Ovis aries: one gene and its partners. The protein of the gene in region 4 interacts with the protein of the main gene of each other region in a pairwise test. Links are inferred from orthologs where the notes say so. Each region holds a gene or a part of one and is shown on either strand. Other genes may lie near its edges.

The links.
Region 1: the proteins of HOMER3 (region 4) and EAF1 interact in binary tests that used the Homo sapiens proteins (3 or more experiments, as listed by UniProt). The two-hybrid records come from large-scale screens. The link is inferred for Ovis aries from reciprocal best matches to the Homo sapiens genes HOMER3 and EAF1.
Region 2: the proteins of HOMER3 (region 4) and FRYL interact in binary tests that used the Homo sapiens proteins (3 or more experiments, as listed by UniProt). The two-hybrid records come from large-scale screens. The link is inferred for Ovis aries from reciprocal best matches to the Homo sapiens genes HOMER3 and FRYL.
Region 3: the proteins of HOMER3 (region 4) and PKN1 interact in binary tests that used the Homo sapiens proteins (3 or more experiments, as listed by UniProt). The two-hybrid records come from large-scale screens. The link is inferred for Ovis aries from reciprocal best matches to the Homo sapiens genes HOMER3 and PKN1.

Annotation. Positions count from the first base shown.
Region 1 is NC_056054.1:273,470,816-273,476,148, forward strand, and holds the start of EAF1 (ELL-associated factor 1), read left to right. Parts: upstream 1-1,988; 5' UTR 1,989-2,198; coding exon 2,199-2,571; intron 2,572-4,522; coding exon 4,523-4,617; intron 4,618-5,333. Other genes in the region: tRNA N(3)-methylcytidine methyltransferase METTL6, read right to left, coding at 63-197, 924-1,148. UniProt on the Homo sapiens protein: Acts as a transcriptional transactivator of ELL and ELL2 elongation activities.
Region 2 is NC_056059.1:68,113,322-68,118,497, reverse strand, and holds the start of FRYL (protein furry homolog-like), read left to right. Parts: upstream 1-1,876; 5' UTR 1,877-2,099; intron 2,100-5,176. UniProt on the Homo sapiens protein: Plays a key role in maintaining the integrity of polarized cell extensions during morphogenesis, regulates the actin cytoskeleton and plays a key role in patterning sensory neuron dendritic fields by promoting avoidance between homologous dendrites as well as by limiting dendritic branching.
Region 3 is NC_056058.1:9,628,452-9,633,016, reverse strand, and holds part of PKN1 (serine/threonine-protein kinase N1), read left to right. Parts: intron 1-2,608; coding exon 2,609-2,684; intron 2,685-2,773; coding exon 2,774-2,915; intron 2,916-3,007; coding exon 3,008-3,101; intron 3,102-4,565. UniProt on the Homo sapiens protein: PKC-related serine/threonine-protein kinase involved in various processes such as regulation of the intermediate filaments of the actin cytoskeleton, cell migration, tumor cell invasion and transcription regulation.
Region 4 is NC_056058.1:4,098,698-4,103,134, forward strand, and holds the end of HOMER3 (homer protein homolog 3), read left to right. Parts: intron 1-343; coding exon 344-465; intron 466-990; coding exon 991-1,147; intron 1,148-1,478; coding exon 1,479-1,589; intron 1,590-1,698; coding exon 1,699-1,782; intron 1,783-2,892; coding exon 2,893-3,084; 3' UTR 3,085-3,360; downstream 3,361-4,437. Other genes in the region: probable ATP-dependent RNA helicase DDX49, read right to left, coding at 4,284-4,437. UniProt on the Homo sapiens protein: Postsynaptic density scaffolding protein. Binds and cross-links cytoplasmic regions of GRM1, GRM5, ITPR1, DNM3, RYR1, RYR2, SHANK1 and SHANK3.

The DNA of each region.
Region 1 (5,333 bases), on a different chromosome or scaffold from region 4:
GAAGTCAGGTCCAACAAGTCTAGGAAAATAGAGACATAACAACACACGGATGGTGCACCAACCTTGACATATTCAACAGCTCTTGGAGAAAAATCACAGGCATAGGCAAAGATACCTGGATCTTCTTCTAAAAGTGGGAATAAACAGTTCCCAACCCCACAGCCAGCTTCAAGAATAGTCAATTTCTGATCTTCAAACTGAGGAAAGAGAACCCAAAGTTACAGTACACAACATCCCACCTAATGAAGAAACAAACTAAAAGGTCCAGAACATGAAACAAGGTCTCTGCCCCCATGGAGTAGACAATTAACCAGTGAAGGGATAACCCAAAGCAACTGATGCCTCATCTGTTGTCCAACACTGGGTAATCTGGTGTGGAGAAAACAACAGCGTAATGGCTAACACAACAGGCTCTGAGGTTAAAGTGCCTGCACGCAAATCTGAACTTTTCCCCTCACCCTGCATTCCGTCACTGAACAAGTCACTCACACAGCTTTGTCCCTCAGTTTCATCAGCAAGTGGGAATAACCCTAACGCTAAACTTCAACATGTTACTTTAAGGTTTAAATTACAGAACACTACTGTTAAGTTCATGTGAAGGGCTGTGGTGAAGCATTCATCTCCATTATCATTATGAACCTGTCACTGAAATCATTCAGTGTGAACTCAATATTTACAATTTTCAGATTCGCTTTAAAGAAACAGAAAATGCCCACTCAAGTCCTCTCTCCTCTGTATTTTACAACTCAGCAACTGCTAAAACTATTTGAGACAGTGTATATCTAAGCTACAAAAATTCATGAAGCCTTTGACAGGTTTCGTAAATTTTCTACCTCACACTCGCCCTGGGAATCCAATAAAACACCCCTCTTCTACACATTTTAAATGAAGAATCGCTCGAACAAGGTGCAGTATTAGTTTACCTCTCTACATGATCTGAGCTCCTCAAACTCTCTGGTGGTCCAGTGTCTATCTTTGAAGAAATTAGTGCTGTTTCTTTTGTAAAAAAGGTCCCAGTTCTTCTGAGCCTCTTTTTCCAGTTTCTGCTGTTTAAAATCAGACACTAAAGCTTGGTCTCTCTTCAGTTTCTCCTCTTCTTCAGAGCTGAGAATCCTTGTCTGCAGCCCTCTCCTTTGCAAAGCAGCCATCTCCTACGTGGATGGTCATATGCTGAACATTTAACACTGCTGGAGATGGCCCATTCCTCAGCAACCTGAGGACTTCAAGTGGATACCACAGACACAGGCAGGGTCCTCTCAGATGTGGTCCCTCAGGCTGGGTTCAAGCCTGAAGCAGCCATCGGATACTTCGCAGGAAAGAAAAAGACATTCCGGTGGGAGGTTCTAGAACAGGTTTTTTTTTTTAAGATGCTCAGTTAGCGGTTCTTGATTAGTTCTTTCACTTAACATTTCAATTCCGCAAACATTTACTAGATGCTGACCCTACACAAAGCCCTACCCCACTACAGAAGAGGTCACAAAGAGCAAGACACAGACCCCCGCCTGCAGGGGGCTGACATCCAGCGGCCAGGGCTCTCACGCACAGAAAGGCTTAATTCCAACCCGAACAGTCAGTAAGCCGCTTTCAGTCAGGAAAAAAAGTCACTCTCAAGAACTGACTGAGAAACCTTACGGTTCCTCAGGGTTCGGTGTCCGTGAAACGGGGGTGTCTTTAAAAACAACCACGACGGCTGTCCAAGCCCCAGGCGGTCGGTCACCGTCGCCAAGGACGCGAGAGACGGCGTTTTTCGGGGAAAACGGAGCTACTACGCCCGGGTGGCCTGAGTCTGTCTCATGAACCCCAGGGCGCGTCCCTTTCGGGAACTGAGGCCCTCGCGCCGCCCTGGGCGCGCGAAAGGGACGAAAAAGAGGCTCAGGGACGCGGAGAGTGGGGCCGCCAGGACCCTGCGGATGAGCCGGGCCGCCCAGCCGCGAGGGGCGGCGGCGACCCGCGTGAGCCTAGTCCACCGCGCGCCGGGCGCCCCAGTCAGCAGTTCCTAGGTTCCCCTGAAGGGTGGGGCCGGGCGCGCTGAGCCCCCAGCCAGGCGCAGCCTCAGAAGCAGAACTTGGGAGCCACCGCGGGGAAAAAAAAAAAAACAAAACAAAACAAAACCAAAACCCTTCGCCTGGCCAACACCCACCCCCGCCCCGCAGAGAGACCTCGAATCCGGATTCTCCCGGCGGCAAAGACCTTCGGCCATGGCACCGCCCCCTCTACTTCCGCTGCGGGCCCGGACGTCCCTCCTCGGCGCCGGAAGTTCCGCCGTCGGGTCTGCTCGGAGTCGTCCCCCGCCCAGACGCGCAGGCCCGAGCTCGTTTCCGGCCTGCGCGGGTGGGCGCCGGCTCGGCTCCCCGCGCGCCCCCGAGCGCTGTCCCGGAAGCGCGGCTCCTCCGGACGCCGGCGCCGGCGGCTCGGGCCGGGGCCGCGCCAGGAGGGCGCCCGGGCGGGCGCGAGGCCCGTGCGGGGCCATGAACGGGACGGCCAACCCGCTGCTGGACCGCGAGGAGCACTGCCTGCGGCTCGGGGAGAGCTTCGAGAAGCGGCCGCGGGCCTCCTTCCACACCATCCGCTGTGAGTCCGCCCCCCGGTCGCCCTCTGCCCCGGAGAAGGCCAGGGGGCCTTGCCGGCGTTCCCTCCCTCGGGGGACCTCGGGTTTTTCCTTTGTTTTTTTTTCCCAGCTCCCTCTTCTCAGACCAGACCCTTCCCTCAGCTCCCAGGATTTCTCCGCTTTGCGCTACCAAATGCTTCTCCCGAAGGTCATTGGACCCTCTTGCGCCCCGAACCTCCACGTCCCCATGTTACTACCGAAGGGCTGCGACCCCATCAGTTTCCAGCTTCTTTGTATTCCAGCCTCTCCTCACCCCCACCGCCCCCCACACACCCAGATCCCCGCGCTTCAGGAGCTCTTCTCGTTTCCTCGGGATTGGCATCCTCCACCTTCCCCTCTTATTACCGAAGGGCTGCGACCCCACATCAGTTTCCAGCTTCTTTGTATTCCAGCCACCCCCTCCCCCTCGATCCACACCCCGATCCCCACTGGGCATCTCCACGCTTCAGGAGCTCTTCTCGTTTTCCTCGGCGTTGGCCTCCACTCCCTCCTGTTCCATTCCCTTCCGGCCGCCTTTGCTTTTCTTTCCTTGCCCCCTTGGGTTCTGGCCTCCGCGACGCCCGGCTGCAGCCCCAGAGCCCGCAGCTCTGCGCCCCGTCCGCCTTCTTTTCCTCCATATATCTGTGCCAGCTTGTCTCGCGCTTTGATGTCTTTTTGAGGTCACCAGACTACCCCTCACTTTTTCTCCAGACCCAGTCCCTTGTGGGTGGAAAGTAAAATTAGGATTGGAGAGCCAGGAATAAGTTAGAGCTTGATCTATGTTTGGAAGCAAAAGCCAGCAGGCATAAGGAGTGTGCAGATAGTCATTATGCTGGACCTCTTTTTTTCTCCATGATTACAGACTCTGTTGAGGGGAGGGCCTTTCCACTGTGTATCCTGGGTGAAGAATTGGCCGCCAGAGCATCCCACTATGATTCACAGACTCCTGGTTTCGCGTCCCAGTAGCCCCAGTACTGGTTAAGACTTGTTTTTGTCCGAGGAGTTCTTAGATGTGACTCAACACCTTGAAACAGGCGTAGTAGGTGGTGAACTTCTGTCTTCCTGTGGTCACTTGCCAGGCCATTACTCTGCTTCCTGCTGACGGCAGATCAGCCCTCTGAGGGGCTGGGTTTTGGGAATGTGAGAAGAGCAGCATCATTTCCTGAACAATTTACTAAGTTGATGTTGTGGCAGAATGAAGGGCAACGTGCAGTTTAAATAAGACACTTGACAGATGTACCTGGCCTGCAGTCTGAGGCAGGTTTGTGTTAAAAGACAGTAAGATGGCTGTTCACGCTGTGCCTTAACTGCAATTCAGAAACATGGGCAGGATTAACCTTTGGAAGTACAGTGCAACCTTCTGCTCCAGATATCTGTAGGAATATTCTTGTTAAAGCTATGGAACTTGAGTGTGGCAGATCCTAACTTTGACAGTTCTTATCAAAATGCTGTGACCTCTCATGTTTCATAGTGTGTTTTACAATCGCAGGGTTTTAAAAACATACTCTGTTGCTTTTCATCCTTATAATAACCCTAATAAAACACCTCATTGTAGGTAATAAGGCATGAATTTTCATCTGTCACTTAGGGGAAGGGAGTATCTGCTTAATGAAAAGTTGCATAAATTCTAGCCTTTTTCCTTCAGAATTATCCAGTGGGGATAAGAGGGAAAGTATATGGAGGTATAGATGAAACTATATTGCCCCAGAACTGGTAATGAAGCTGGGTGATGGTATTCAGGACTCATTATAGTATTCTCTTTGCTGTTGTATATGAGAAATTTTCCACAGTGAGATAACATTTTAAGAAATTCTAAGTGGTTTGTATTTTCTTTTATCTGAGTTATAAAAAATTTCCATTCTTACATGTGAATGCCGTGCAAGCACTTAATACAAGTAACCTGGTGGATAAATGCTTTTTTTCCTTTCCCTTTAGATGACTTTAAGCCGGCGTCTATAGACACTTCCTGTGAAGGAGAGCTTCAGGTCGGCAAAGGAGATGAAGTCACAATTACGCTGCCGCATATCCCTGTAGGTTTTATTACATCGTTGTTGCTGTTGTTTAATGTGGAATCACAGTGAATCCTCATATTGTTATTGCAATTTGATTTCCTCCTTTTTAAAAACTTCTAGATTTCTGAAGTGCCAGCATGAGAAAAGGAACTAGGGGGGTCAGATGGGATGGAATTCATGCTTCCCAGGCTCCTGAGTAAAAAAAATTCTTTGTCATTTTTCCCAAACTCCCTTTCCCCATTTGTTCCTAAGAAGGCAAGGTGGAACCTGGCTCCTCCTTTAGACATATGTAGCCTCTCCCAACAGCTGCAGAGAAAGAGGCCCAAGTGCTCTATGGGTATAAAACAGCAACGGCTTAGGGGCGTGGAGAGGCAGGGGCGGGATCAGCATGGTTCATGAATCTGGCAGGGGGTGATGTGCAGGCTGGTGGTTTCAGGCAGGACCTAGGTTCAGAGCCGCAGGTTAAAAGCTGAGTGGAGAACCTTCGCAGAGAGACACTGCTGAAGTCTTATCAAGGCACCACTGTGATCGCAAGGATCAGACAGAATAGTCTTAATGAACACGTGCATGTCCCAGGCCTGTCCTGGAACATGATAAGCTCTTGGTAACCAGTGAGAGAATGAAAAGGCTCTGGACAGAGAGCCTTGGGAAGCGTTGTGCTGACAAAAAACTGTCTGCCAGTTCAAACAGCTCTCATTAGTTGTTGCCTTTGGCAGGTTACATCATCTCCCTTT
Region 2 (5,176 bases), on a different chromosome or scaffold from region 4:
AGAATTGGAGCTCTGTTTAATAACATAGAACATTCTTAAGAATGACCTGCACATGCAGGCTTGTAGATTTTCTAAATTCTTCCTCAGTGTAAAATATCAATAGCAGTATTATTACCAGGAGTCTGGGTGTATAGGCTAAAAAAGTAATAAATAAATCTATTGTGGGCAAGTGTGAAATAGAGAGAACACAATATAAATTACATTTGTTAGGTTATGATCATGGTTGGTTAGGTGTAAGGAAAAGAATCCAGAGGTTACTGTAGACTGCTTTCTGGAGTTATGAGCCCAATGTGCTAGTGTAACAAAATACTCTTGGCCTCATGAAGCAAGAGATTTACAAAGAACTTGAAAACTTAACCTGGATCTTGATTTTTAAAAAATACCTGTGAAGACCATATAAATATAATCCAGGTTATTTCCTTGTCTCTTGCCCCTAATAGAAACACCTAAACCGCCTACAACCTTTCCCTTTTCTCCCTCTTCCATGTTTAGGGTATTTCCAGGAGATTTTCCCCCTGAACTCTCCGAAAATTCCTATCTACTACTGCTGTTTATCTCCCTCTTTCTGGTCCTAAATCCCTTCTGGGGTACTGCCAAGCGCTGCCACTTTCTTGGCACCGCTTGTTTCCGCTGGGCTCTCACTGCAAATAAACTAAACATCCTGAGGTCCAAAGTGTCTCTAAGTTCATTGGCAAAGGGAGGCATACATTTAACGATTTCTCCCTAACATTCATAGATAGGTACCAAAGCACTTGAGTACCGAATCTTAGTAGGTACAACCCTTCCGGTTCTTACAGTTCCCATGGGAAACTGGGGAGCTCCTAACACAGACCTTACCAGGCTGCCGAAGAATTCCTCCTTTTTCCATGCGTGAGGTTTTGCTGCAGGGTTAAGCTTCCGGTGCCAGACTCCTTCAGTTCTCTCAAGGAATAACCTTCTGGTGCCCAACTGGGCTCAACCCAGGCTCCCCTTACGCAGCTCTAGCAAGAGGTAAGGACTTCTTCAACTTTGGAGGATGGCACGGTGGGTGGGCATCTATTCAATCTTTTCAGAAGAGTAGCTTAGATCTCGTGACAAACCCTAGATAACAACAGAGGACATGAATTAAACGGAGCTTTAAATAGAAGCGATTTAAACGAACCACTGTGGAACAAACAAGGGCACCCCTAGGTTTGCAGATATCTTTATTAAAGCTCTTTGGGGTAGTAAAATGCCAGTGGGATCGACAGTAGGAGTAGAATGGACAGTGAGTGAAAACTTGTTGATTACATCTCAAGAGTGAGTACTAGAATTGCAGGTATTCTTCCTCATTCTAACCACTCCATTCAGTAGACCGAAGGATGATATTCCGCTGGATCCCAGCTCCAGTTCCCCGATATATTAAGTCATCAGAAGATTTTGAAATTTTCTCCTTTCCCTTTTCGTCTTTGCCCAACACAGACTATGAGTTTGTCTACGACCCCTACCAACATTTAAAGGGAAAGGCGCTTCGAACTAGGCAAAGTGGGGAGGAGGACTCGGCGGTTGTGTTTCTCAAACCCGTGTACAGAGAGCAATAATGGGTAAGGGGCGTGCAGACTAACTCCTTCCTTGTCCAATCAGGTGCACAGGAAGATGTCCTTTTACCAATAAAAATAAAGTTCGCTTTCCGGAGGCGGGAGGGTAAGCCTTGACTGCCAGTTCTCCAAAGCAACGACAGAGTAGAAGACAGAGAATGATTAGAGGTAGGACCAACCCAGGAAAAGGGGCGGGGTGAAGGCGGGGGTAACTCTGAGCGGCGGCTGCACTGGCCAGTGGGGTGTGAGAACTGCTGTTCCTGTTGTAGTGTTTCTCGCCAATCAGGAAGACCAGGGAGTAGGCGGGGCGGGGAAGAGGTGGGAAGAGCTCGCAGCACCGCCGGGCGCCCGTCGGGCTCTTGGGGAGTGAGAGAGAAATCCGGTTAAAATCTGGAGTCGGAGGGAGGTTTAACCACAGATCGGTTCCGATCGGATTATTCCTTAAAGGGGACGCGCTATTGTCAAGAGAACGGAGCCTGGGGCCCGAGGGCGGGGACCGGCGGCGCCTGAGGAGCGAGGCAGCTGCACTTGGACTGGGGACGGGTAGGTGTTGCCTGGGGAAAGGCGCTTCATTTCACTTTCTCTTCCAGCTCCAGAGGCGGGCGCCGGGATGCCCGTCGGCCGGCGGCCACAGCCCCGGCGGGAGACGAGATCGCCGGCCCTCGCCCGCTTTCTGATGGGGGCTGAGAGGGGAGGCGGGCCAGGATGGCTGGCAATCTGCGCCGCCCGGGCCAAGACCCGTAACGGACACTAAGCCGCGCCGCAGCCCCCGTCTAAACCGAAAACTCGCCGGAGCGGCAGCTGGTCCTCGGGGAGAGCCGCGCGCTTTGCTCCCCCGCGCGCCCGGCTCCCGATGCGCGCGCTGCTTCCTTGCGCGCCCCCTTCCCCTCGCGCGCCCAATTCTGCTCTCGCGCGCCGCGTCCTCGCGGACTCGCGGGAGCCGCCCCGCGGGGAGGAAGGCGGCGCGGCGGAGGGAGGTCGGCGGCCACCGCTCTGCCGCCCTGGCTGTGAAGGCAGGGCTGGGAAGCAAACTTAGCGCGGCAGCTTGGCGACCCCGGGCGAGAAGGGGCGCTGGGGACCACGGAGAGTGCAGAGTCGCCAGCCGGGCCCAGCATTGTCCTGCTTTTCTTCTGCTCTGGTCTCTCCGCCCACTGCTCGCGGTCGTGGGGAGGGGTGCGGATGCGGGCGCCGTGCCCGCGCTGCTCCGGGCCGGCGGCGCACCCCTAGACTCCCTGCCTGCCTGAGCTGGAGTCTGCCCCCACTGACACCGCAGCCGCCGCCCGTCGGGGCCAGGGAGCGTCTTTGCAGCTCTCCCGTCTCCGCACCCGCGCAGGCTGCCTGGGTGCTGAGCTCTTTGTAACTTTTCTTTGCCTATTGATGGAAGTTATGGCTTCCGGGCGGCAGGTTCTTTGGGCAAAACATCGTTCCCTGCGTTTTGGAAAGGCTCACTTGTAGGACGAAATGGTTCTTGATAGCTGTCGGACTTTTCCTCCCATCTCAGTTTCATTCCTGGCGCCTAAAATCGTTTCTTTTGTGGATTTGCATTGCAAGGGAGCATTAACCTCTCTTCATTTCAGTTCAGTTCAGTCGCTCAGTCGTGTCCGACTCTTTGCGACCCCATGAATTGCAGCACGCCAGGCCTCCCTGTCCATCACCAACTCCTGGAGTTCACTCAGACTCACGTCCATCGAGTCGGTGATGCCATCCAGCCATCTCATCCTCTGTCGTCCCGTCCCCTATTAGGTCAAGATAATTTGAAAAAAAAAGGGGGGGGGTGCTGATGAGGAGCAAGAGCTCTTTGTAGTGAGAATTTGCCTTCACCTTTGAACTGTGGAAAGTGTTACCTCGATTGACTGGCGGAGATTCTTTTGGAAGGGAAAAGAAACATTGCAAAACAAAACAAAAAGCTTCAGATTGCTAGGGTCTATAGGATTAGGCGGAAAAAATAGAATTTGGGTAGAAATAAAGTTAGTTTAACTATTCTGCCCAGCAGATACCTTCCGTAAAGTTTGTTTCTGCTACTGAACCCATAGACGTTGTAGTTAGTAACAGCCGCTTGTACTATTGATAAACAAGAAATTTTTCCTCCTCCATCTTAAGCATTAGTGGTATTCTATACCTGTCAATCCCTGGAGAAGGGAATGGCAACCCACTCCAGTATTCTTGCCTGGAGAATTCCACGGATAGAGGAGCCTGACGGACTCCAGTCCATGGGGTCGCCAAGAATCAGACACGACTGAGCGACTAATACACATACCTGTCAAAACATGCTAAAGAAGTTACATTTAGAAATAGTACGTCCTTGTTAGAAACCTTATTTAGAAAAGGAATATTTTCATGAGCATTCATTTTTGACAGTTTCTTCTTGTGCAATACTTTGTAGAGTACTTGCATGTGCAAGTTACAAGCCTATAAACAAAGTTGCGGTGGGTGTGTTATTATGTAGTCTCTTTTTGGCTACTCATTATCAAAGATAGCATTCCATCCTGGCTTTTCTTCCATTCTGAGTTATTTTGTAAAATTACTTTTTTAGGAAAAGTGAATTTATTGGAACCTCTGGCCCAGTGGTTGGTGTGTGTGTGTTTAAGCAATATAACAACTTTCCAAAGTGTTCATTAACTGTTCAGTAACTTTATGAGTGGATGTGAAGCATTATAACATAAATTCACAGGCTCAGCAATAGCAAAGAAAAACTATACCTGGGAAACTAAAAGTCAGTTTCAGAGAATAATATTTGAGAGATGCTTTACTCTTCCTATAGAATTTTGGAAGTGTAGACATACAAACACATGATCTTTCCTAGTAATCTTGATGATATCTGGCATTGTACACATAATGCTCCCCTTTCTTCTCCTTTCCTTTGATAAGTATGTCAGGCAAGCTTGCTAGCATAATCTTCCTTTCCATTTCATAATAGAAAGTAGAAGATTAAAGCAAGTTTCCAAAATTCTATTTTTGTTCACTTACCAGCTTATTTAAACAATAAAGGAGAGAATTCCGGAACTTTTAAAAGATTACATATAAAGGAAACACTCAGAATTATCTTTGAAATATCTAGGCTGTGTTTCAGGGAGAACATATTTTTCCTGTGTGCTTTTCACATTGTTTTAAGCACATTGTCTTAAATATACACATTGCCAAGGCATTTCTTGAATTGTGAAGTGTCCCTTGAGATCCCTGGGAACTAGGACTGTCCTCTATTTCTGTGCAGATTCGCTCTGTCACCTAATACATTTCTAGTGCCCAGTAAATGGATTTGTTGACTTAGGACTTTGTGAGGGAAAAAGATAACGTTCTGTAAAGACTGCTTGAGAGGCCTATTTATTTATTTTTTAAGATACCTTTCTGAACAAGTTACACCAGAGACCAGCAGTTGGTTTAGTGTCTAGGGGCAGGTATATTAATCTAGTTGCTTTTTGTTCTGTGTACAAAAACGTGACTTAATTGTTAGTAGTGTTTGATCCACAGACATCTTTCGTGAGGGTGATTGTCGTCCCAATTATTAGAACTAGGTTTAATTTGTCAACATCTGTTGAGTACCCATTTATTTGAGGAGTATTATGGAAACATAAAGTAGAAATGGATGATAGTCATTACTTTCAAAGTTACGGAGATTCATG
Region 3 (4,565 bases), about 5.5 Mb from region 4:
TTGGAAAGATCCCCTGGAGAAAAAAATGGCAACCCATTCCAGTACTCTAGCCTGGAGAGTTCTATGGGCAAAGGAGCCTTGTGGGTTACAGTCCATGGGGTCACAAAGAGTCAGACACAACTGAGTGACTAACACTTTGATTTCACATGTGTGTGTGTATACATATATGTATGTATTTATGTTTAGACATACCTCCCCATGTCCTTAACCTTAGAGGAAAAGTCTTTTTTTTTTTTCTTTCATTTCGCTGCTTGCTTAGATTTTTTTTAAGTTTATTATTTATTTTGGCTTTGCTGGGTCTTCATTGCAGCTTTCAGGCTTCTCTAGTTGTGGTGCCTGGGCTCTAGAGTGCTTGGGTTCAGTCGTTGTAACTTGTAGACTTGATTGCCATCTGTGGGATCTTTGTTTCCTGACCAGGGATCGAACCTGGGCCCCCTGCATTGAGAGTGTGGAGTCTTATCCATTGGACCACCAGGAAAGTCCCCACTACTTGCTTAGTTTTTTAAATACCAGTTTTCTTTGCAAAAAGATCAGACCGTGTGAAAAAGAAACAGAATTCCCAGTGTATGCATGCAAAGTCGCTTCAGTCGTATCCTACTCTTTGCGATGCTATGGACTCAAGCCCACCAGGCTCCTCTGTCCATGGGATTCTCCGGCCGAGAATACTGGAGTGTGTTGCCATGCCCTCCTCCAGAGAATCTTTCTGACCCGGGGATCAAACCTGCAGCTCTTATGTCTCTGTCATTGGCAGACGGGTTCTTTACCATTAGCTCAACCTGGGAAACCCTAGTATAAAAAATTCCCAGTGCACAGTATTTTAAACAAAAAACGGCTGTATTATTAACTCTGTTTTCAGGAATGGGATAAATATCAAGAGAGTCATTGGGTTCAAGTGAGTTTAAAGATTAACCTGAAAGAAGCTTTTCCTTGGCTGTGAAAGTCGTTCACTTGTGTCTGACTTTCTGCGACCCCATGGACTATATAGTCCATGGAATTCTCCAGGCCAGAATACTGGAGTGGGTAGCCTATCCCTTCTCCAGTGAATCTTCCCGACCCAGGAGTCGAACCAAGGTCTCCTGCATTGCAGGTGAATTTTTTACCAGCTGAGCTACCAGGGAAGCCTCTAGATACCAAAAGTCTACATTGCTCTAAGTTTTCACTAGAAAATGCTTTCAAAATTTTAAAACAGTCACTTTTCAGTAATTTCTAACTAATTCACTAATTCCTAAAAATATCTAGAAAAATTCTTGAAATAGTCAAGGGCTATTTTACTATCTGGGTGAAAATTCTTACATAATCTCGTAATCCAGGACCACAGAAGGAAAGGCGCAGAGAAGAGCTGACTTCACACGGCAGGGCCATGAAATTATTCTTCTGTTAGGAAGACTGTCCAAAACCCAAGTGGATAATAGTGGTGGGTGGCCAGGGGTAAGAGTTCTGAGGCAGTCCTGCTTGTCTTCAAGATTTACTTACTATTTTTTTTTTTAAGAAAGATTGTTGTTTCTTTTTTAAAAAATGTTACTTATTTTCATTTTTGGCTTGGCTGAGTCTTTGTTGCTGCTCGGGCTCTTCTCTAGTTGTGGCGGGCGGGCTTCTCATCGCCGTGGCTTCACTAGTGACCGAGCACGGGCTCTGGAGCACCGGCTCAGTAGTTGTGGCTCACGGGCTTAGCTGCTCGGCGGCAAGTGGGATCTGCCTGGATCAGCAATTGAATGTCTCCTGCATTGGCAGGCGGATTCTTTACCACGGGAGAAGCCCCCAAGGTTTACTGAGAACATTCTCTTTTGTTCTCCCCAAAGCACCATCCTATAGAACCTTCTGCAGTTCTGTCGCCTCTGAGCCTACAATAGTTGAGTTCTGTCGTAGATGGTATTGTTCCGTGTCTGTGTCCTCCTGTATAGTAGCCGCTAGCCTCTTGAAGTCTGGCTAGTGTGACGGGGGACTGACACTTTCAGTCAGCTTACATTTTACTTCATTTCAGTAGCCACATGTGGCTAGAGGTGACCAGATCGGGGACACCCATAAAGTCACATGGTTCTATGACTTCAACACCTTCCAGAAGATGTGATGCAGTTGGGAGAATTCCATGAGACCAGTGGTTTCCCCACATGAGTGGACACCAGCATCATCACCTGGAAGGCTTGCTAGAACACACACTGCTGGGCTCCACCCCCAGGGTTTCTGATTCAGTGGGTCCAGGGTGGGTGGAGGTGCTGAGAATCTCCCTTTCCAGCAGGTTCCCAGGGATGCTGGTGATGCTGGTTTGTGAGCACAGGAGGGGAGGCGGGACGCTGAAGGAAGGGTAGTTCCCATTTGCCGGAGTCGTCCGTAGGTCTTGTTGGATCAGAGCTGCTCCCCACCCCTAGAAGAGGGCCTGCTTGCCTGCCTGCTTCTTGCTTTTCCAGGGTGGCTTTCAAGAGGTGGTCCTGTCAAAGGATGGATTGGCTTTGTGACCCCTTAATACGCTGCATGGTACTCTGTGGTTGGATGCGATGCCACAGTGACTGGAACCCTGGAAACGTACGGGTGTGCACGCCTATGACCCTGAGGCTCCCCCAGCGAGATGCTAGAGGAGGGCTAGGGTCCTCACGCCAGCCCCTCCCCTCAGGTCACCTTCCGCAACCCTGTCATTGAGAGGATCCCCCGGCTCCGACGACAGAAGAAGATCTTCTCCAAGCAGCAAGGTGAGGGGATGAACCGGGACAGGGCAGAGACCAGGGTTGCCATCCGTGTCATGGAGGCTAACGTCCACCCCCATGCTGCCCTTCCCCAGGGAAGGCATTTCAGCGTGCTAGGCAGATGAACATCGACGTTGCCACCTGGGTACGGCTGCTTCGCAGGCTCATCCCCAACGCCACGGCCACTGGTACCTTCAGCCCGGGGGCTTCACCAGGACCTGAGGCTCGGTCCACAGGGTAAGCGGGGGGTGGGGCCCTGGGAGGCCCGCTGCCCTGGCTGCTTTCCCGGGCGCCAGGTCTTAGATGCGCCCTCCTTCCTTGTGCCGCAGTGACGTATCTGTGGAGAAGCTGAACCTCGGGGTTGAGACAGACAGCTCACCCCAGAAGAGCCCTCTGGGTCCTCCTTCCAGCCCATCCAGTCTGGTGAGCACCCCACCTTGGCCCAGCTCGAGTTCCAAGCTCTCGCCAGGAACTTCCTTGGTCACACAGCTTATCTCTGCCAGAGCTAGGGTCTCATTTTCTATCCCAGACAAACACATGAGCTTGGGAGCCAGGCCCCCTGGGCCCCACTCCTTCTCTGTTGCCTCCTGTCTGTGTGACCCATGCCAAGCCACTTCACCTCTTCATGCTTAGCGCACCACTGTGTAAAACGATCAAGTTTAAAACTCATGTCGATGACAGGAGTCAGGTTAGTGGTTTCCTCCGGGCAGTTTGTTGACAGGAGAATGGACTCAGGAGAGCCTGCCAGCATGATGAAAATGTTCTGAAGCTTGATCTAGGTCAGAGGGCAAGTACGCTTTTTCTGGAAAGGACCATATCGTCAGTATCTTCAGCTTTGTGGGTCAGATGGGTCACAGTGATGACTCGTCAATACTGCTCTCATAGAAAGCAGCAACATGTGATACAGGCATGAAGGGGTGTGACTGTGCACTGGGAAAGCCTTGTGTCATATCCCTTTCAGGAATCATGAGCTATTTTTCTTCTTTTGATTTTTCTCAACCCTTTAAAAACATAAAAATGATTCTTAGCTTACAGACTGTACAAAACACGGAGTTTACCAACCCCTGGTCTAGCTCACAGGCATCTGGTTAGACACGTGTAAGAGCTGGTCCCATTACCCACCCCACTGAATGCATTTTATACCTCATTTTCTAAAAAATGGCAGCAATAACAACATATGCTTCATGGCATTAAGTGAGATCATTAAATAGATGAATTTGGCAAAAAAAAAAAAAATCCAAAAGTTGAATAACACTGAATGCTGGGGAGGATGCGGGAGAACAGGCAGGCAGTCAGTGGGAGGCATGTGAATCACTACATCTTCTTGGGAGGGCAAGCTGGTTGAGTTAAAAATGGGTGTTATCTTGACCTAGGTGTTCCACTCCTGGACATCTGTGATGGCCATTCACATACATGCACACAAAAAATGCTTGAATGAGTATGAAATACATCTAGAAAGGTACCCATGACATCATTAACAGCAGCTGGCTCTGGGGAGAGCAGCTGGGGCAGGAAAAACTGCATTTCCTACTGTATACCTGTTTGCACTGGTTGAACTTTTAAAACTATATAATGGGGAATGATGGACCAGTAGGTAAATTTTCTCCAACTTAAACTTTTAATTTTGATGCTTCATTATATATTCATATGATGTAAAGAATTAGGTGGTTCCATAAGGCTGTTACCAATAAAGGCAATAAGTTAGACGTATTGGAGCTTCAGCAACAGTCCTCCCAATGACTGTTCAGGGTTGATTTCCTTTAGGATTGACTGGTTTGATCTCCTTGCTGTCCAGGGGACTCTCAAGAGTCTTTTCTAGCACAATTCAAAGGCATCGGTTATTCAGCCCTCAGCCTTCCTTATGGTCCAGGTCTCACATCTGTACAT
Region 4 (4,437 bases):
GGAATAGCACCGAGGCTTCAGATTGCTCCCCGATTTGCAGATTATGAGTATCTGTCTCCCTGGGTTTAGGCTAGCCTGCATTAGATTTGTTGCTGGTGGGTTGGTGAGAGCCCAGCAGGCAAGGAGGCGGGACAGGGCGCCAAACTACAGCCCAGGGGCCATGTGGGGGCCGTGGATGGTGGGGGAGGAGGGGAGAGGGACGATTGGATCCCAGTGCTGGGAAGGACCTCCTGCGCCCTCTCAGTCATGACCCCTGACATCAGCCCTGACCCCAACCATGACCTAACTGGCCCTTAACTGAAGCCACGCCCTACTGTGACTTCACTTCTATCCATGCCCTTAGGTGCCTCCGAGCCCCCTCGTCAGCGCCAATGGCCCCGGCGATGAGAAGCTATTCCGCAGCCAGAGCGCGGATGCCCCGGGCCCCGCTGAACGCGAGCGGCTCAAAAAGATGCTGTCCGAAGGGTGAGGAGGGTAGCACAGGGTGCAGGGGCGTGACAAGACGAAAGGTGGGGGAGGCGGGAGGAAGTTCTCAGAAATTGCTGGGACTTGTTCCAGCGGCGCAATCTGACAGTGGATCCACGCCTGGGATCCCAGAACAGGCCTGGGTTGGAGAGGAGACACCCAGATTATGCCCCTTCCAGAGCCGACGCCGCTTGCCTCATCCATTCCTCGGGGCTAGCCCTGGCCCGTCCACACCTCCCCCAGCTAATTCTAAACCCACGGATGCCTCCCCACCCCCTGGTTCTGTCCACATCCCATGGGCTGATACTGAGCTCCATGTGGACTGTCTCGCGGAGCGGACACAGAAGGGCCTGCTCTGACCCCACCTCCCGGGAAGACCCCGCCTCCCCGGGACGTCCCCACCCCCTTGTCTCGAGGTCTCTTGACCCCGCCCATAGCACCGCCCAAGACCCAGCCCCGCCTTCGCCCCGCCCCTGGCCCAGTGAGGCCCCGCCCTGCCCTCTGCCGACTCCGGCGCTCTCGCAGCTCCGTGGGCGAGGTGCAGTGGGAGGCCGAGTTCTTCGCGCTGCAGGACAGTAACAACAAGTTGGCCGGCGCCCTGCGAGAGGCCAACGCGGCCGCCGCCCAGTGGAGGCAGCAGCTGGAGGCCCAGCGCGCAGAGGCTGAGAGGCTGCGGCAGCGGGTGAGGAAGCCCCACCCTCCCGAAGACCCCAGGTGGCCCAAGGGTCACTGTGAAGGCCCTGCCTCCTATTTGTGTGGGTTCAACTGGCTGGATGTGTGATCTCGGCAGGTCACTTCCCAGAGTCTTAGTTTCTTGCTCTGTAGTATGGGTCTGAAGTACTGTCGGCCACAGAGGGTCATCAGACCCTGGAGTCCTACCTGCCAGAGGTGAGGTAGTGGCCGGGATTGAAGGGATGAGTTCCCTGTCATGGGCTTGACTGACCAGGAGGCGTATCCCTGGGGTGAGGAGGTCCAGACTGGGCCACCCGGGACTGACCTGCCTGTCTGCACAGGTGGCTGAGCTGGAAGCCCAGGCTGCAGCAGAGCCACCTGCGGTCAGTGAGAAGGAGGGACCCAGCCAGTCATTGGAGCAGCTGGAGGCGCTAGTGCAAACTAAAGACCAGGTGTGTGAACGCAGCTGTGTGCGTGTGTGCTTCCTCGGGCCTCGCTGTCCTTGATCTCCCGCAGGGGAGCCAAGGACCGCAGAACAGATTCTGGGAACTTTTCCTCCAGGAGATCCAGACCCTGAGGAGCCAGACTAGTGGATCCCGTGAGGCCGCAGACACCGAGCGCGAGGAGACGCAGCAGAAGGTGCAGGTGTGTGTGGTTGCTGTGTGGTGGGCTGGGGTGACTACCCGTGGCAGCCAGTTCCTGGTACGGGACCGACATGATCTTCCCTTCCCACGGGCTCTGGGCAGCTGTGGGCCTTCCTGAACCTCTGTTTCTTCACCTATAAATGGAGTCAGGAAGACATCTAAGGTTGTGAACGATTCAGATGACCAGGTGCATGGAAGGACTGAGTCAAATGATGGTTATTAGGACAATGTTTCATCTTCCATTCATTCAACAAGCAGTTTTTGAGTCTCTGTTGAATTTCCATTCTTGACCCTGTCAAATCCTCTCACATCCCCGTCTGAGGCCAGAAGCTTGCATTTGTACCCAGATGTGGCTGGCCTCGGAGAAGGCAATAGCAATCCACTCCAGTACTCTTGCCTGGAAAATCCCATGGACGGAGGAGCCTGGTGGGCTGCAGTCCATGGGGTCGCTAAGAGTTGGATACGACTGAGCGTCTTCACTTTCACTTTCATGCACTGGAGAAGGAAATGGCAACCCACTCATGTTCTTGCCTGGAGAATCCCAGGGATGGGGGAGCCTGGTGGGCTGCCTTCTATGGGGTCGCACAGAGTCGGACACGATTGAAGCGACTTAGCAACAGGACCAGCAGTGGCTGACCTGGCTTTCGCTGAAGACTTTTCTGAGGAACGTTCATAGGGGCATGTCCTGTGAGTCCAGCAGGTGGAGAAGTTAAAGGATCTGGTGCCCCCAGAGAGAGAGTATTTGAGGGAACACTCCCTGTTGTCTCCTGGGCAGCATGCACAGCAAATACAGAGGCCCTGAGGTGGGGAGAAAGTATTCAAGGAACCACAAGGAAGCCAGAAAGGCTGAGCAGGAACGAGCAAGGAGAGGAGGGAGGGGTCTGAATTTCATTCCCAGAACAATGGGTGACAGGAGGATTTCGAGGAATGTGGTCAGTTCAAATTGGCTGGGGGACCACGGAGTGTCTTGGGTACAGGTAGCTGGGAGAAAGCCAGCAGACAGGAAGAGTTTGGCCCAGAGTGGGGGCTGTGGTCCCTAGCACCTGCTTTGAGATGCTGGACCCTTGAGACTTTCTGGGGCCCCCAACATCTGCCTGCCCTCTCCCTGTAGGATCTGGAAACCCGAAACGCAGAGCTGGAGCACCAGCTGCGGGCCACGGAGCGCAGCCTGGAGGAGGCCCGGGTCGAGCGGGAGCGGGCACGGGCCGAGGTGGGCCGGGCCGCACAGCTGCTGGACGTCAGGCTGTTTGAGCTGAGCGAGCTGCGGGAAGGGCTGGCCCGCCTGGCCGAGGGTGCACCCTGAGTCCAGCCTCCGGGTCTGCATAGAGGAAGGGGCCTGTGGGAGCTGGTTTTACACAAACGGCTCCGGCTGGGGCACAGGCCAGGCCGCAGGCGGCACGGTGGGCCAAGCCCTGTGGCAGGGACTGGGGCCCAACTCAGCCTGGGGAGGGCTTGTCCACAGGACTCCAGCCAGCCCTGGCTGTTCACAGCTCAGAGGCTGTTTTTGAGCTTTTCATTGTGTAGAATTTCTAGACTCCCCAGGGCGCGTGCTGGTGCCCAAATTACATTTCTAAGCGTGGCTGTGTGCGTGGTGTCTGAGCAGCCCGGGTGTACCCAACCACCAGCACTGGGCCCTCTGTCCATCTGCCCTCAGCCTGGTAAGCCACCTGGAGGGCGAGGTTCAGAAAGCCCGAGGGAGCGTGCCCAGGACACATGGCTCTGCTTCCCCATCTCCTTAAGCCCTGCCCATGTTGTCTGGACCACCCTGGACTAAGGTGGACCCTGATTAATGCCCCCGCTTTCACTTCACTCTAACCACAAACCCCAAATACAACCAAGTGGGCAAGTGGGGAAGCTCCTAGAATGTGGCTGTGTTCACTAGGCATGGAAACGATCTCTCCAAAACATGTCTACATCTGGGTAGTAGAGTGGTTCCCCATTTTCCAGATGAGGAAACTGAGGCCCATATAAGGGACTTCACCCACCCAAGGTCACTCGGCTGGAATGGTCAACACTACAGTCCAAAGCTTTGGGCCTGGCCCGACAGAAAAGAACTAGTGGGTGGGGTGGCAACATGATGTTCCGGGGGACTTGAGAAGCACAGGCAGCCACACCCTCTTCCCGCTGCCCCTGCTCCCCAGAGTCGGACTGCAGAAGCTAAAAGCCTCATTTATTAAGCACCTCCTGCAAGTGACACACCTTTGCTCATCGCACATCCAGGCTGACCCTGGGCTGGGGTCACTGTGCCCCAGGTGGGCCGGGGCCCAACCTCACAGCCGGTGGTCTTTCTTCCTCAGCAGCCCGCCTCTTGGCCAAGGCTCTGAAAAGGGGCCACCAGAGGCTGCAGGGTGGAGGGCTGTGCACCGTACAACGTGTGTGTCAACGGGCTCTGCTGAGGGGCACTGGGCAGGCTGGGAGAGGGTTCTGTCCTCAGGGGAGGGCGCTCCAACCCTCCGCTTGATGAAGGAGTCCCAGGCTGGGCAAGTGGGTGCTGGGCGGAACTCAGGCTGGACCCTGAGCGGGTGCTGGGGACAAGGAGGCCTCAGGCCGGGCCCTGGGTGGGCGCCCCCTGCGGTCAGCCCTGCTGGCCTTTTGCCGCTGCAGTGTCTGCTCCACTTTCTCCTTGAAGCGCCGGTTCTTCTGCTTGATCTTGGCT